Daphnia pulex: one gene and its partners. The protein of the gene in region 3 interacts with the protein of the main gene of each other region in a biochemical or structural test. Links are inferred from orthologs where the notes say so. Each region holds a gene or a part of one and is shown on either strand. Other genes may lie near its edges.

Region 1 (4,074 bases), on a different chromosome or scaffold from region 3:
AGTTTGCCAAATAGGTTGCGATTTTCATCTCTCCAATAATTAGATTCTGGAGGAACGCACTCTTCTTTCTTGAGGATGTTGATGGGGAAAATACGGCTGATGTAATCAATCATTCCAAAGTTAAGGGAACGCAAAATAAGCAAGACATTTTCAGAGCTCTTTTTCTTCAAAAGATTTTCTTCACACGTCAACCCAGCAGACTTCAAGAGAGCGTGAGCGCGGCTTGCATTAAAAGACGTATTGCTTTTTCCGACTGAACGGATGCACTGCAGACTGTATCCTCTAGGAGAAAAAACATGGTATGTTTTACTTAAATTCTGCTCAATAGAAAAGCCTTGCATCTCGGCAATCCCACTAAGACATGTCAAACTAAGACGTCCTTTGAAGTAAAAACATGTCTGAAATGGGATGAATGCTAGAACTTCATTGGGATTAATTAGAAGGAAATCAAATGTATCCAGAGTTTGGTAGACTGCTTGCAAAGAACTTGATTCCTCATCCATAGCAAAGGTTTCTTCAATACCTTCTTTTTCTGCTGTTAAAAAAGAATCATCCTCATTGGGAGAGGATTGGAATGAATTATCTTCATCAGAAATGTTGCTCTCCTTTAATTTAAGTTTTAAGGCACCAATGCCAGTCACCGACACACTTTGATTAATGGTTGAACTGTTGTCTACATTTAATTTGGATGATGTTTTGTTCTTTCGTGAAGTTTTTTTTTTAAGTTTTGATCTTTTCGAAGTTGGTTTGGTCTGTCCATTTTTTAAGGAATCATAGACACTTTTGGCTGAAAGCAAATGACTGACAAATGACAATTTTTTCTCTGCCATATTTGTTGAGTCAGAACTATCGTTTGTGTTGCTTTTTCTTGAAGAAGAAGCAGTCTTCGTTTTTTTGGTTGAGAGTTTCTTCATATTTGTCAAATCTTCGTGGAGGCTTAATGAATCTTCAAGAAAATTTTGGTTTGAGTTTTTATTTTAGTAAGCTATTTTAATAATATTCAATTATACCTGATTAGATCCTATTGTTATATTTTATTTTAAAAAATGCAGATTTTACAGTATTTTTAAGCAGCCGAATTTTCAATCCAAGCACGTGTAAAACTGTAAGCTATAACGCTCAAGTTGCCAGATGCTCTTTAATTCAGCGATCAAATTGTCGGCGGGAAATGTAACTATTATTACGCGTACTTTCTTTGTCATCATCATCACTCTATTTAATAATCGGCTAATAAAAAAGTCGACTATTGCGCCACCTTACTCGTTGATTACAGACATTTTTACTTTGGATTTTAGTAGGAATAGGGAATTGCCGGTACAAGGACTTACTTGCATCAGCTGATACCCGCCATTTCCCCATATCTACGTCGAGTCATCGGTGGGAGAAAGGTGGCAGCACGCAGCACTTTCGAGTTCATAGAAAGTACTGGTAATTACTGACTGACTTTCTGTTGCTCTCTTGCTCGTCATTCTTTCAGTTTGGCTATCTTTCGTTCCAATCCTGGTGTGCAAATTCGCCGGCATTTTGTCGTAATTGTTCATAATTCTCCCTTCGTTGGAATAGTCTAAGTGAGTATTCCAATCGTTCGGAGTTTGAAACTTACCGTAATTTTTTTTATATTAAAGTAAGAAAACTGGTTTGTTAGCACCCATTGTGACGCTCGTGTTGCCCAAGGTATTGAGTTTAATTTTTAGATGTCCACTGCTGAGGTGGATCCGTCACCCTCGTCTCCCAGTCCTGCTGCAAAGAAAAGGAAGTTGGAAGAAAATAACGGGAACAGCAGTAACGGTAGCAATCACCATTTAAAAGAAGTTCAGCAGCAACCGAAAATGGCAGGAAATGGCAACATCCACACCATCGATGAGGGTCTTTATTCCAGACAACTTTACGTATTGGGCCATGAAGCTATGCAGAGGATGGCAACTTCTGATGTCCTGATTTCCGGTCTTGGAGGCCTTGGAGTGGAAATTGCTAAGAATATCATCTTGGGAGGTGTGAAGTCCGTCACCCTTCATGACAACTCAATTTGCAAAGCCTCTGACCTTTCTTCCCAGTTTTATGTATCGGAAGCAGATCTGGGAAAGAACAGAGCTGAAGTTTCTCACAAGAGCCTGGCCGAACTCAACCAGTATGTCCCAGTAGAAACTTATACAGGAGAGTTGAACAAAGAATTCTTGAAGAAATACCGAGTTGTAGTTTTAACTAATTCAAGTCTTGAAGAGCAACTTCGGGTTTCTGAGATCGTTCGTAGCTTCGGCAATGCTCTCATCGTCTCTAAAACACAAGGTCTGTTTGCCCAAGTCTTCTGTGACTTTGGGGAAGATTTCACCATCATCGATACTACTGGAGAAAATCCCGTTTCTGCTATGATTGCTGGAGTGTCTAAAGAAGAAGCAAGTGTTGTTACTTGCTTGGATGAGACCCGGCACGGATTGGAAGATGGCGACTGTGTTACCTTCTCTGAGGTACAGGGCATGGTTGAGCTGAATGGTTGCGAACCCAAGAAGATCAAAGTACTTGGACCATACACCTTTAGCATTGGTGACACGAGCGCTTTCAGCGACTATGTACGTGGAGGAGTGGTTACCCAAGTGAAAATGCCTAAGCAAATCCACTTCAAACCGTTGGCTGACGCTCTCGAAGAACCAGAATTCGTGATGACAGATTTCGGCAAATTTGATCGGCCTCCCCAAATCCATCTAGCATTCAGGACATTGGACGCCTACGTCAAGAAGGAGGGACGATTGCCAACTCCTTGGAGCCGTAAAGACAGTCAACAGTTTGTGGATTTAGCTAAAGAGTTAAACAGCGGTCTAAGTGGCTCATCTAAAGTTGAAGAAGTTGACGAAAAGTTACTGGCCACCTTCTCCCATGTATGTCAAGGAGATTTGAACCCCTTAAACGCCACTCTCGGCGGGGTTGTCGCTCAAGAAGTTATGAAGGCGTGTAGCGAAAAGTTTTCTCCCATTGTTCAATGGCTATACTTCGATGCCACCGAGTGTCTGCCAGATAACCAAGATTCGTTGACCGAAGAAAACTGTAAGCTTACTGGATCCAGATATGATGGACAGGTATTGAAATATTTATTTTTGTTTTTCATCAGTTATGCATTTTATTTTTTTACATTTTCAGGTGGCAGTGTTTGGCAATGAATTCCAGAAAAAGCTTGGATCCCTACGTTACTTCATTGTGGGAGCTGGAGCTATCGGTTGTGAGGTAATTATCAAAGTTTTTGTAATAAATTTTCTGTAGATTTTATTAATTAAAAAATATATTCTATTTGTTAGCTTCTCAAAAATTTTGCCATGATTGGAGTTGGTGCTGGTGAAGGGGGCCAAGTCTTCGTAACAGACATGGACTTGATTGAAAAGTCCAATCTGAACAGGCAGTTTCTTTTCCGGTCGCATGACGTACAGAAACCCAAATCCAGTTCGGCGGCCGCTGCCGTGAAGGTGATGAACCCTCAGGCCAACGTTACAGCCTTCGAGAATCGCGTCGGTCCCGAAACGGAGCAGTTCTTTGATGACGATTTTTTTTCGAAATTGGATGGCGTTGCTAATGCCCTCGACAACGTGGATGCCCGTATCTACATGGATAGGCGCTGCGTCTATTACCACAAGCCCTTGCTCGAATCTGGAACTCTGGGTACCAAAGGAAACGTTCAAGTTGTTATCCCCCATCTAACGGAGTCATATAGTTCGTCTCAAGTAATATAGCTTATTATTTATTTTTTCTTTTATGCTAGTTTTCTGGTTTATTGTAATTAATCAACTTTCTTCTTAAACTTATAGGATCCTCCGGAAAAATCAATTCCTATCTGTACGCTGAAGAATTTTCCTAATGCCATTGAACACACACTGCAATGGGCTCGGGATATGTTCGAAGGGTTGTTCCGGCAATCAGCAGAGAGCGCTGCTCAATATTTAGTTGATTCTAAATTCATGGAGAGAACACTAAAGCTAACAGGATCTCAACCACTCGAGATAGTCGAGGCCGTCCACCGCAGCTTAGTTGAGGAACGTCCGAAGAATTTTGAGCAGTGTGTTCAATGGGCTCGCCTCCATTGGCAGGAAC
Region 2 (4,068 bases), on a different chromosome or scaffold from region 3:
ACACCAGCTGGTCTGGCAACGGAAGTACGCAACAAGATCGCTGGAGCGCATCGTCATCCTCGTTAATGCCTGTCGGAAGGTCAATGGCGTCGTCTGGATCATTTAATAACAACTGGACTGGATCAGCTCCCCCTCTTAGTGGATCCGCGCAATATAATCCAGCGACAGGAAACATAGGGAGTCTTAACAACCCTGTTATCGGGCAGTCTGGATCCGTTGGCTATTCGGCAGATCGTTATTCGCGACACTAACTTTATCGCATCATATCCAACCGTTTTTTTTTTTCAACTTAGACGTTTACAATGTATGAAATCAATACACAAATTGAACTTTATTTTTGAAATCCCATCAATTTTTCAAGGTAGGCTGAGAATGCAACTGGATTATTTCTAGGAAATTTCTGGAGTTTAGTAGTTCTAAAATCAACAATGGTAGTTTTTAAGGTTTCTGGATAGCACATATAAACATGTCCTTCAGAATGTAACTTCTCAGCAAGTTCTAGCTGGTGATTGCCCATCAGCTTCTGGTTAACCACAACAATTAATGGCTTTGCTACACTGAGGGCCTCAAGACAACTGCCAGCACCAGCATGTGAAATGATTAGGGAGGCTTTTTCCATATCAGAAGAAATGTTTTCTTTAAAATGATAACAAGATATTTGTATTCTTCGTGAAATAGGAATTGGAGGTTCAACACCAAGTCCAATTTGCAGAACAAGATGTGTGTACCCATCATCTTCCAAAATCTGATGCTCAAATTTTATACATTATTATTTACTAGGAAAAATGTGTAATGCAACGTAAATATCGAACATACCTCTAACGTGTTTGGATGCAAAACTTGAGTTATTAATTCGTCAAACTGGGTAGTCCCTACAGTAACAAAAACGATTTTACTTCCCGATTCTTTATGTGTCACACTCATTTCGAACGACAGCAATACTAGTATTTCAGTTCACTTATGGACATTCCCCACAAAAAATTCTCAACTTGTTTACGAAATTGTGATATTTATTATTCAAAAAAACGAATAACTAATCTGTCAGAATGTCAGTCAGCCAGTCAGGCAAAAGGAAAAGAGACGATGACAGTTTTGTTCATATTTTTTTAAATATTATTGAATGAACTCTAAAATTACGTAAACTTTATTAATTTAGAAATTCTTAACTCATAAATGTAATTATTTTTAAGTTATTTAATGAATCATTTCATCATTCAAACTTACAACCAAAAATAAGTAAAAAAATCGATGTTGACCGAAATATTGGCACTTGGCAGCACCGTTGGCACTTGTTTACAGCAAAGACAATTGTCTCATCAGCTGTCCTTAACTGGAAAGAAAGGGTTTTGTACTTGATTGGCGTGACTCTTTGCCCTTTACCGAGTTTTCATACAGGATTACTGTTAAGTTTGTTTTTCAGTCTTTAATGGTAAGTCAAACTAATCTTAATTTTAATGACAAATGGTTTCATTATATAAACATATTTCATCAGGTGGTGTAGGGAGGAAAACGTCATCGTCTTTTCTTCCCTTGGGAGCATCTTGCCTCGAGCCGTCTCTATCGAGTGAGTTGTTATCAATAATGGGTGACGAACAAGCTGGCCCGTCTAGAAAAAATACAATGGACACTGAAAGATCCAATAGCTCGGGAACAAATAGTAGCAAGTCAGCAACAGAAAATGTTCCGAAACAAACATCACTTTCAGCAGAAGAAACAAACAATCACTTGGCATTTGGAAATGGAAGGACTAATCCGCCCAGAACACCTAGTAGGAATTGCCCTTCTATTGATGGTGAATGTCCATCAGGCCATTTTGATGAAGAGGATTTGGACATGCCAGAATTAGAAACTCCCAGCCCTGTCTTGATGCCGTCACAGCTGCTCTCACCCCCAGTTGCACTCCACTATGATGAAACTTTGCCATTGACTCTTCAAATGCCAACAAGTATTAATGTCAGTGTTAACTTGCAACCTTCAGTGTACAGTCTGTCTGGACCACCAGATCCTGTATTCCTTGACGACAGTATGGAGAGTGGGGAGAGAGAGATCACTATCACTCGAAATCCTTATTTCGATCCCTCTCTCTCACCTGGCCCAGTCGACGAGTTTCTTTCTCTTGCCTCCTTCAGTAGCCACGTCGATGGCTTTCACTTTGGACTGGAGGAGGCACCAGCACCTCCCCATTGGGCCAACAGTAACCGCGTAGAATCTTTTCCTCCAGCTGCTGCTTCTGCTGTAGCAGCATCATCTTCATCATCTGATGTCCGCCGAAAAAGACCGAATACAACTCAACAGGATTCAAATTGCAACGCATCGAAGTCCAAAAAACAAGCCGAGACTTCTGGTGGAGAACCTGTACCCGGTCCATCGGGTATCGGAGTTGCAAGAACGGTAACTGGCGATGATGGCCCAGTTGCTGATGATCTACAATTAGAATGTCTGACTGACGGTTCCTCCTCTGCTACCGAATCAGACATTGACGATGACGATAGTTGCATCGAAGTAGTAAGCGTCCGACCTGGTCTATTGCGTTCTCAGCATCAACCCGAAGTCGTAGATCTTACCATTTCAGAAGACGAAACGTCGACTCCCAATCCTTCTACATCGTCGGGCTATTCTCGTTCTACTGGGAGACAGCCCAAACCATCGTCGTCTGTAAAGTCAAGAGCTATACCTAAAGCAGAGCCTCCAATGGCACCAATACCGGTTGTGATTGAAGAGAACAATCAGCCAGACGCTGAAGTAAGACGAGCATCGCCGGCCTTTGTGTCCGTTACTCCATCGTCCTCTGCAGGAAACCGCCCAGGTGCTTGGTGCGGATGTCCAGGGCAGTTTTACGTGGACGGAGGACGGCCCACGCCCATGGGTGTAGCTTGGCCAAACAATGGTAATCCAATACGAGCACATTACATTCCTAATCAGTCTCTTCGACCATCTCCGCTAGCTCATCATGCCACTGCCTTTTCGTATACACCACCACCGCCAGCTTATCACCATCCTCCACCACCGCCAGTTCTGACTCTACGTTTGCCGTCAACCGTTCAAACCCACGGTGGAGCTCGTTCGCCCGTCTGGTGGAGTTATCCAAGTATGGCCGTTGAAACAGTAGCCACTCCGTCACCTCAACACGTAGCAGGAGATGGATCTTCTAATCAGGCTGCGGCCATTCCACTGCAACCCAGTCAGCTGGTTGAAGCCACTTCTGTCGCTCAACCTGCACCCGTTTTCGTTCCTCAAACAACTGGTATTTACCATGCGGCCCCCACTTCACGACCCGTGGACGGACGTTGTACGATGCCGCCTGCCATTGCTCGAAGCTTCATGCGTATCCATCCCATTCACCAGAGGATTTGGCATTCACAGCACCGCTCGCAAGAAGCTCTTCGACGTCATATGGACATGGCACAACGTGTCGCAGCTGGAGAAACCGTCGAAGTTAGCGGTCCGTCATCGATTCCGGATTCTCCGATGATGAGTCAAGGCATTCAAAATCAACAACAACCCACTGGTTTCTCTGGTCCGCCTCCTCCATATCATCCAGTTGCACTGGAGCGCAACAGCAGTCCTTCGCCACAATTCAGAACTGTTCACGCTCCCGATTTGAGTAGCCACATGATGCCGGCCGTTCAAGCTGAAATTGTCGTTGAAAGTTCTCCTGTCAATTTAGATCCTCGCCATCACCATTTGCCTCCTCCTCCTGCCTATGCTTTTGCTCCGTCTTACCACCACCACATTGCCCATTTCAGTCTGCCTGGCAATTTGCATATCAGTATAGGTCCAGGACCAGCCATCCCGCCCGCAGTACCACCACCACCACCTCGAACCGTACCAATGGAACGCGTTCCACCACCTGCCATGCCCGGTGTTCAAGGTGCCGCAGCAGTCGAAATCCAACCAGCCCATCAGCAGGAGCAACCTTACCACCGTGGCTACCCGTTGTACATTCACCACCAGCAGCACGGTCACCACCACCATCCTCCACCACCATTGATCCCACTGGGCAACAGTCCATTCTTGAGCGGATCACCACATCACTACCCATTTTTACGTCCTTCAACGCGTTTGGAA
Region 3 (3,192 bases):
TGAACTGTATTTGTTTGCGCACCCAATTGACCCCATACCGATCTTTTCTCAACTGCCAAGAAGTATATAATTTTTAAATATCTATAAAGGCTATAATTTGGTCCCAACCGAATTTCAGTGAGATAGAACTGGAGCGACAGACGTCCAAACCGAAAACTATACATGAAAAACCAAGAGGCAGTTGTCTATAACTATTCTGGATTCAAAGTTTTTCCCTTTTTTTTTTTTGTAACCACGAAATTCCATAATGTTGGAGATTATTTTTGAGTGTTGGGAATTCCTGTTTCTGATCGGATCTCAGTACCAATATTCGCTTCCCTTTTTCGGTTTGAACCTACCTCATCTGAACGGTGCGAAGAGGTCGGGGAAGATTTGGTAAAAAATTGATTATGTCTGTCGAGTGGATGGTTTTCGTTTCGTGATAAATGTGCGCTCTCATCCGTCTTTATAATTTCACCCTCCTCATCCACGACAAGTAAATACACAGCTGTACAATTTGATACTCTAGACTTCCACGGGTGACGGCATTTTTATTATTCTTTAGTATCCTTTTGAGGTACTCGTGGTACTAAACGGTAAAAAGTGTAGGCTATCGACGATCATTTTAACGACGCGTGAATTGGAATGAACCGTCGATAGAACTTTTGACGAGCAAACAAAAGAAGATTGGGATATAAGAACGAGCAAAATGTAGTTTTTTGGCTGATCACCATCGGGGACAGTTCAACCAATTGAAGGGAGGGGAATCAGTCGACAAAGGCTGATGGACGAGGAACAAAAGAAAGCAAAATAATCTAAATTCAAACACAATTTCTCGGTAACGGATTGACAATTTTACTCTTTTTCCTTCCACAGATCCAGGTTTCATATGTTTCCCATAGCATAAGTTCTGGTCCATTCTCGAGCATTACGAATAGCTTCTACCTCGTTGACTTTCCACAACTCAGCAACATCATTGGCCAATGGATCATCGGGATTGGGCGCACTCAATAGAGCTTGAATCGACAACAGCACTGTCCGAATTTGCAAAGCTGGACTCCATTTATCTGAAAATATTAGAAAATATTAAACAAAGCCAAATCCACACACTTAAGTTTTTCAAGCAAATGCAACTTTCTGAAGTTAAAACTGATTTTTTCCCCAGTTACTTAAAAATTCAAAGCACAAATGTCATAACAATACAGGTATACCCTGATAACCAAAACACAAGATTATACATGCATAGAACACATAACACTTGACAATCTTGATAGAGCAAACACTAAAGTAATAAAAATAATCACCTTTCAGAATATCAAGACAAATTCGGCCAAGTTTATCAATATTAGGGTGATAAATCTTTGTCATGAATCGCACTTTAGGTGCAGACATTGGGTACTCTTCAGGCAAAAATAGTTCCAATTTGAAAACACCACCTTCAAATGGAGAACCTTCTGGACCTATGAATTTTAATCAATATGAACTAGTCAGTACCAGAATGACACTTTAAGGTTGCAATTTAAGTTTACAGACCTGCAACCACAACATGGAAATAACGAGCATTTTGTTCATCTGGAACTGCACTAATGCCTGGGACAGGCTCAGCCATCAAACGTTGAGTTTCCTATTGATCAAATTAATGACGAATATACTATATTGCTAGAGAATACTACCGGTCCCATAATAGGATCGGGAGAAAAAAACACGTTGCCTCCCACTTTGATGCAAGTCTACAATTAAGATTTGTGTTACCTTGATTATCCTTCTAGGTAAGCCTGCCATTTCGCATCAATTTGTTGAACAAACAACGAGTATAAAATAAGATTTTCGTATAATAGATGGTAACTTTAAAGCCAAATAGAGAAGACGGAAAGTTTTCACGCTATACGAGTGCCCTATTGCTAATTTAAGACGTTGTCAAATTGTTTGGTGACGAAAATCGGTAGGAGATCGACCCGGCCACACGGGAAGAATTAGACATATAAACATATTATTTTTCAAATTAAGACGATTTATTTAAAATGAACAAAGTTTATTTGAATTGGTTTACAAACGGAAATACACGAGAAAGCTAAACAAAAGGTATTGCTTTTCAAATGCCGGAAATGAGTTTAAACCTTTATTTCAGAACCGTAGAAAATGACCAGTAAAAATTTTTTGGTTAGATTAATTGGCTGTTCTGTTTGCGGAATATTTTAATTATTTTCATGAATCATCTAGAAAGAATTTCGACTTGAAAGTTGAAATAAATTGAAAAAGGGCAAATTAACTAATAAGGCATGATTAAGATTGAATGGCAGGCTTCAACACATAAAATTTTTTATTTTATCACTTTCTTCTCCTATCCTTCTTCATGTTAATTTTATTCCCTTTTTTTATGCAAAATTGCTAGAATTTAACTCGGCAAGTCGGCATCCGGTACTGATCTGACGTCTGACCTCCATGTTGTTTGTTTTTAAACTGTCGTCTGCTAGTATTGTTCGTTCATTGCTTTTGCGTGGTTTCATTCACTCAGCTTCATTCTGTTTTAAAATATAAACCATCAAGTGTCAAACACGGAAAGAATGGATCAAAAATTGGCTAACAAATTATTTGAAGAGGGCGCGTTTTTATTTCTTCTTGGCGTACCAATTGGGACTGAAGTAGGAATAGATTTCAACAGTTGGAGAACCGGCGAAAAATTCAAAGGCATAAAAATGATACCCCCTGGAATTCACTATATTTATTACAGGCAAATAAGTTATTTTTTGTTAGAACAGTTGTGTGAGTGTAACATTCACTGTGAGGTACAAAATGTGATTGTATATTTTTATATAATTTCTAGCTCTGTAAGCAAGGAAGGTTCCGTAGCGCCAAGAACAGGTTTCTTTTACAACTTCAATAAGAAGGAAGTTGTGGTCCGTAAGTGGAACCCAGAAATAGAAGATGTCATCAACGATTGTAATTTTATTTTATAAATCATTATTTAATATTAATTTATTATTTAGTGTTTATCCATAATAGGTACTGATGAAGAAAGAGAAAGTTTAAAAGCCAATTTAAAAAATCTTGATCAGCACTTGGGTCCATATCCATTTGATACCTGGAAGAAATGGATGTCTCTCAGCAGTAAATTGACAAGTATATTTTCTTATACATTATGTAATCTGTACAAAAATAAAATGTCTAACAATTAATATTTAGCTGATGTAGTTGGGAAAGTGGAACCCCTTC

What was found.
Region 1: of the proteins of ubiquitin-conjugating enzyme E2 N (region 3) and ubiquitin-like modifier-activating enzyme 1, one has a biochemical effect on the other in vitro, tested with the Homo sapiens proteins (10 studies listed by BioGRID, with this or other methods). The link is inferred for Daphnia pulex from reciprocal best matches to the Homo sapiens genes UBE2N and UBA1.
Region 2: the proteins of ubiquitin-conjugating enzyme E2 N (region 3) and E3 ubiquitin-protein ligase Arkadia-like form a complex in vitro, tested with the Homo sapiens proteins (4 studies listed by BioGRID). The link is inferred for Daphnia pulex from reciprocal best matches to the Homo sapiens genes UBE2N and RNF111.

Annotation. Positions count from the first base shown.
Region 1 is NC_060018.1:5,974,030-5,978,103, reverse strand, and holds the start of ubiquitin-like modifier-activating enzyme 1, read left to right. Parts: upstream 1-1,274; 5' UTR 1,275-1,422; exon of another isoform or gene 1,423-1,568; intron 1,569-1,674; 5' UTR 1,675-1,694; coding exon 1,695-3,071; intron 3,072-3,132; coding exon 3,133-3,216; intron 3,217-3,287; coding exon 3,288-3,707; intron 3,708-3,791; coding exon 3,792-4,074. Other genes in the region: polynucleotide 5'-hydroxyl-kinase nol9-like, read right to left, coding at 1-914. UniProt on the Homo sapiens protein: Catalyzes the first step in ubiquitin conjugation to mark cellular proteins for degradation through the ubiquitin-proteasome system.
Region 2 is NC_060024.1:8,994,934-8,999,001, reverse strand, and holds the start of E3 ubiquitin-protein ligase Arkadia-like, read left to right. Parts: upstream 1-1,268; 5' UTR 1,269-1,429; intron 1,430-1,492; 5' UTR 1,493-1,581; coding exon 1,582-4,068. Other genes in the region: SAFB-like transcription modulator, read left to right, coding at 1-251; UDP-N-acetylglucosamine transferase subunit ALG13 homolog, read right to left, coding at 332-751, 817-924. UniProt on the Homo sapiens protein: E3 ubiquitin-protein ligase. Required for mesoderm patterning during embryonic development. Acts as an enhancer of the transcriptional responses of the SMAD2/SMAD3 effectors, which are activated downstream of BMP.
Region 3 is NC_060019.1:11,513,182-11,516,373, reverse strand, and holds ubiquitin-conjugating enzyme E2 N, read right to left. Parts: upstream 1,959-3,192; 5' UTR 1,762-1,958; coding exon 1,732-1,761; intron 1,604-1,731; coding exon 1,513-1,603; intron 1,440-1,512; coding exon 1,284-1,439; intron 1,047-1,283; coding exon 865-1,046; 3' UTR 501-864; downstream 1-500. Other genes in the region: protein AAR2 homolog, read left to right, coding at 2,544-2,710, 2,804-2,919, 2,983-3,099, 3,163-3,192. UniProt on the Homo sapiens protein: The UBE2V1-UBE2N and UBE2V2-UBE2N heterodimers catalyze the synthesis of non-canonical 'Lys-63'-linked polyubiquitin chains. This type of polyubiquitination does not lead to protein degradation by the proteasome.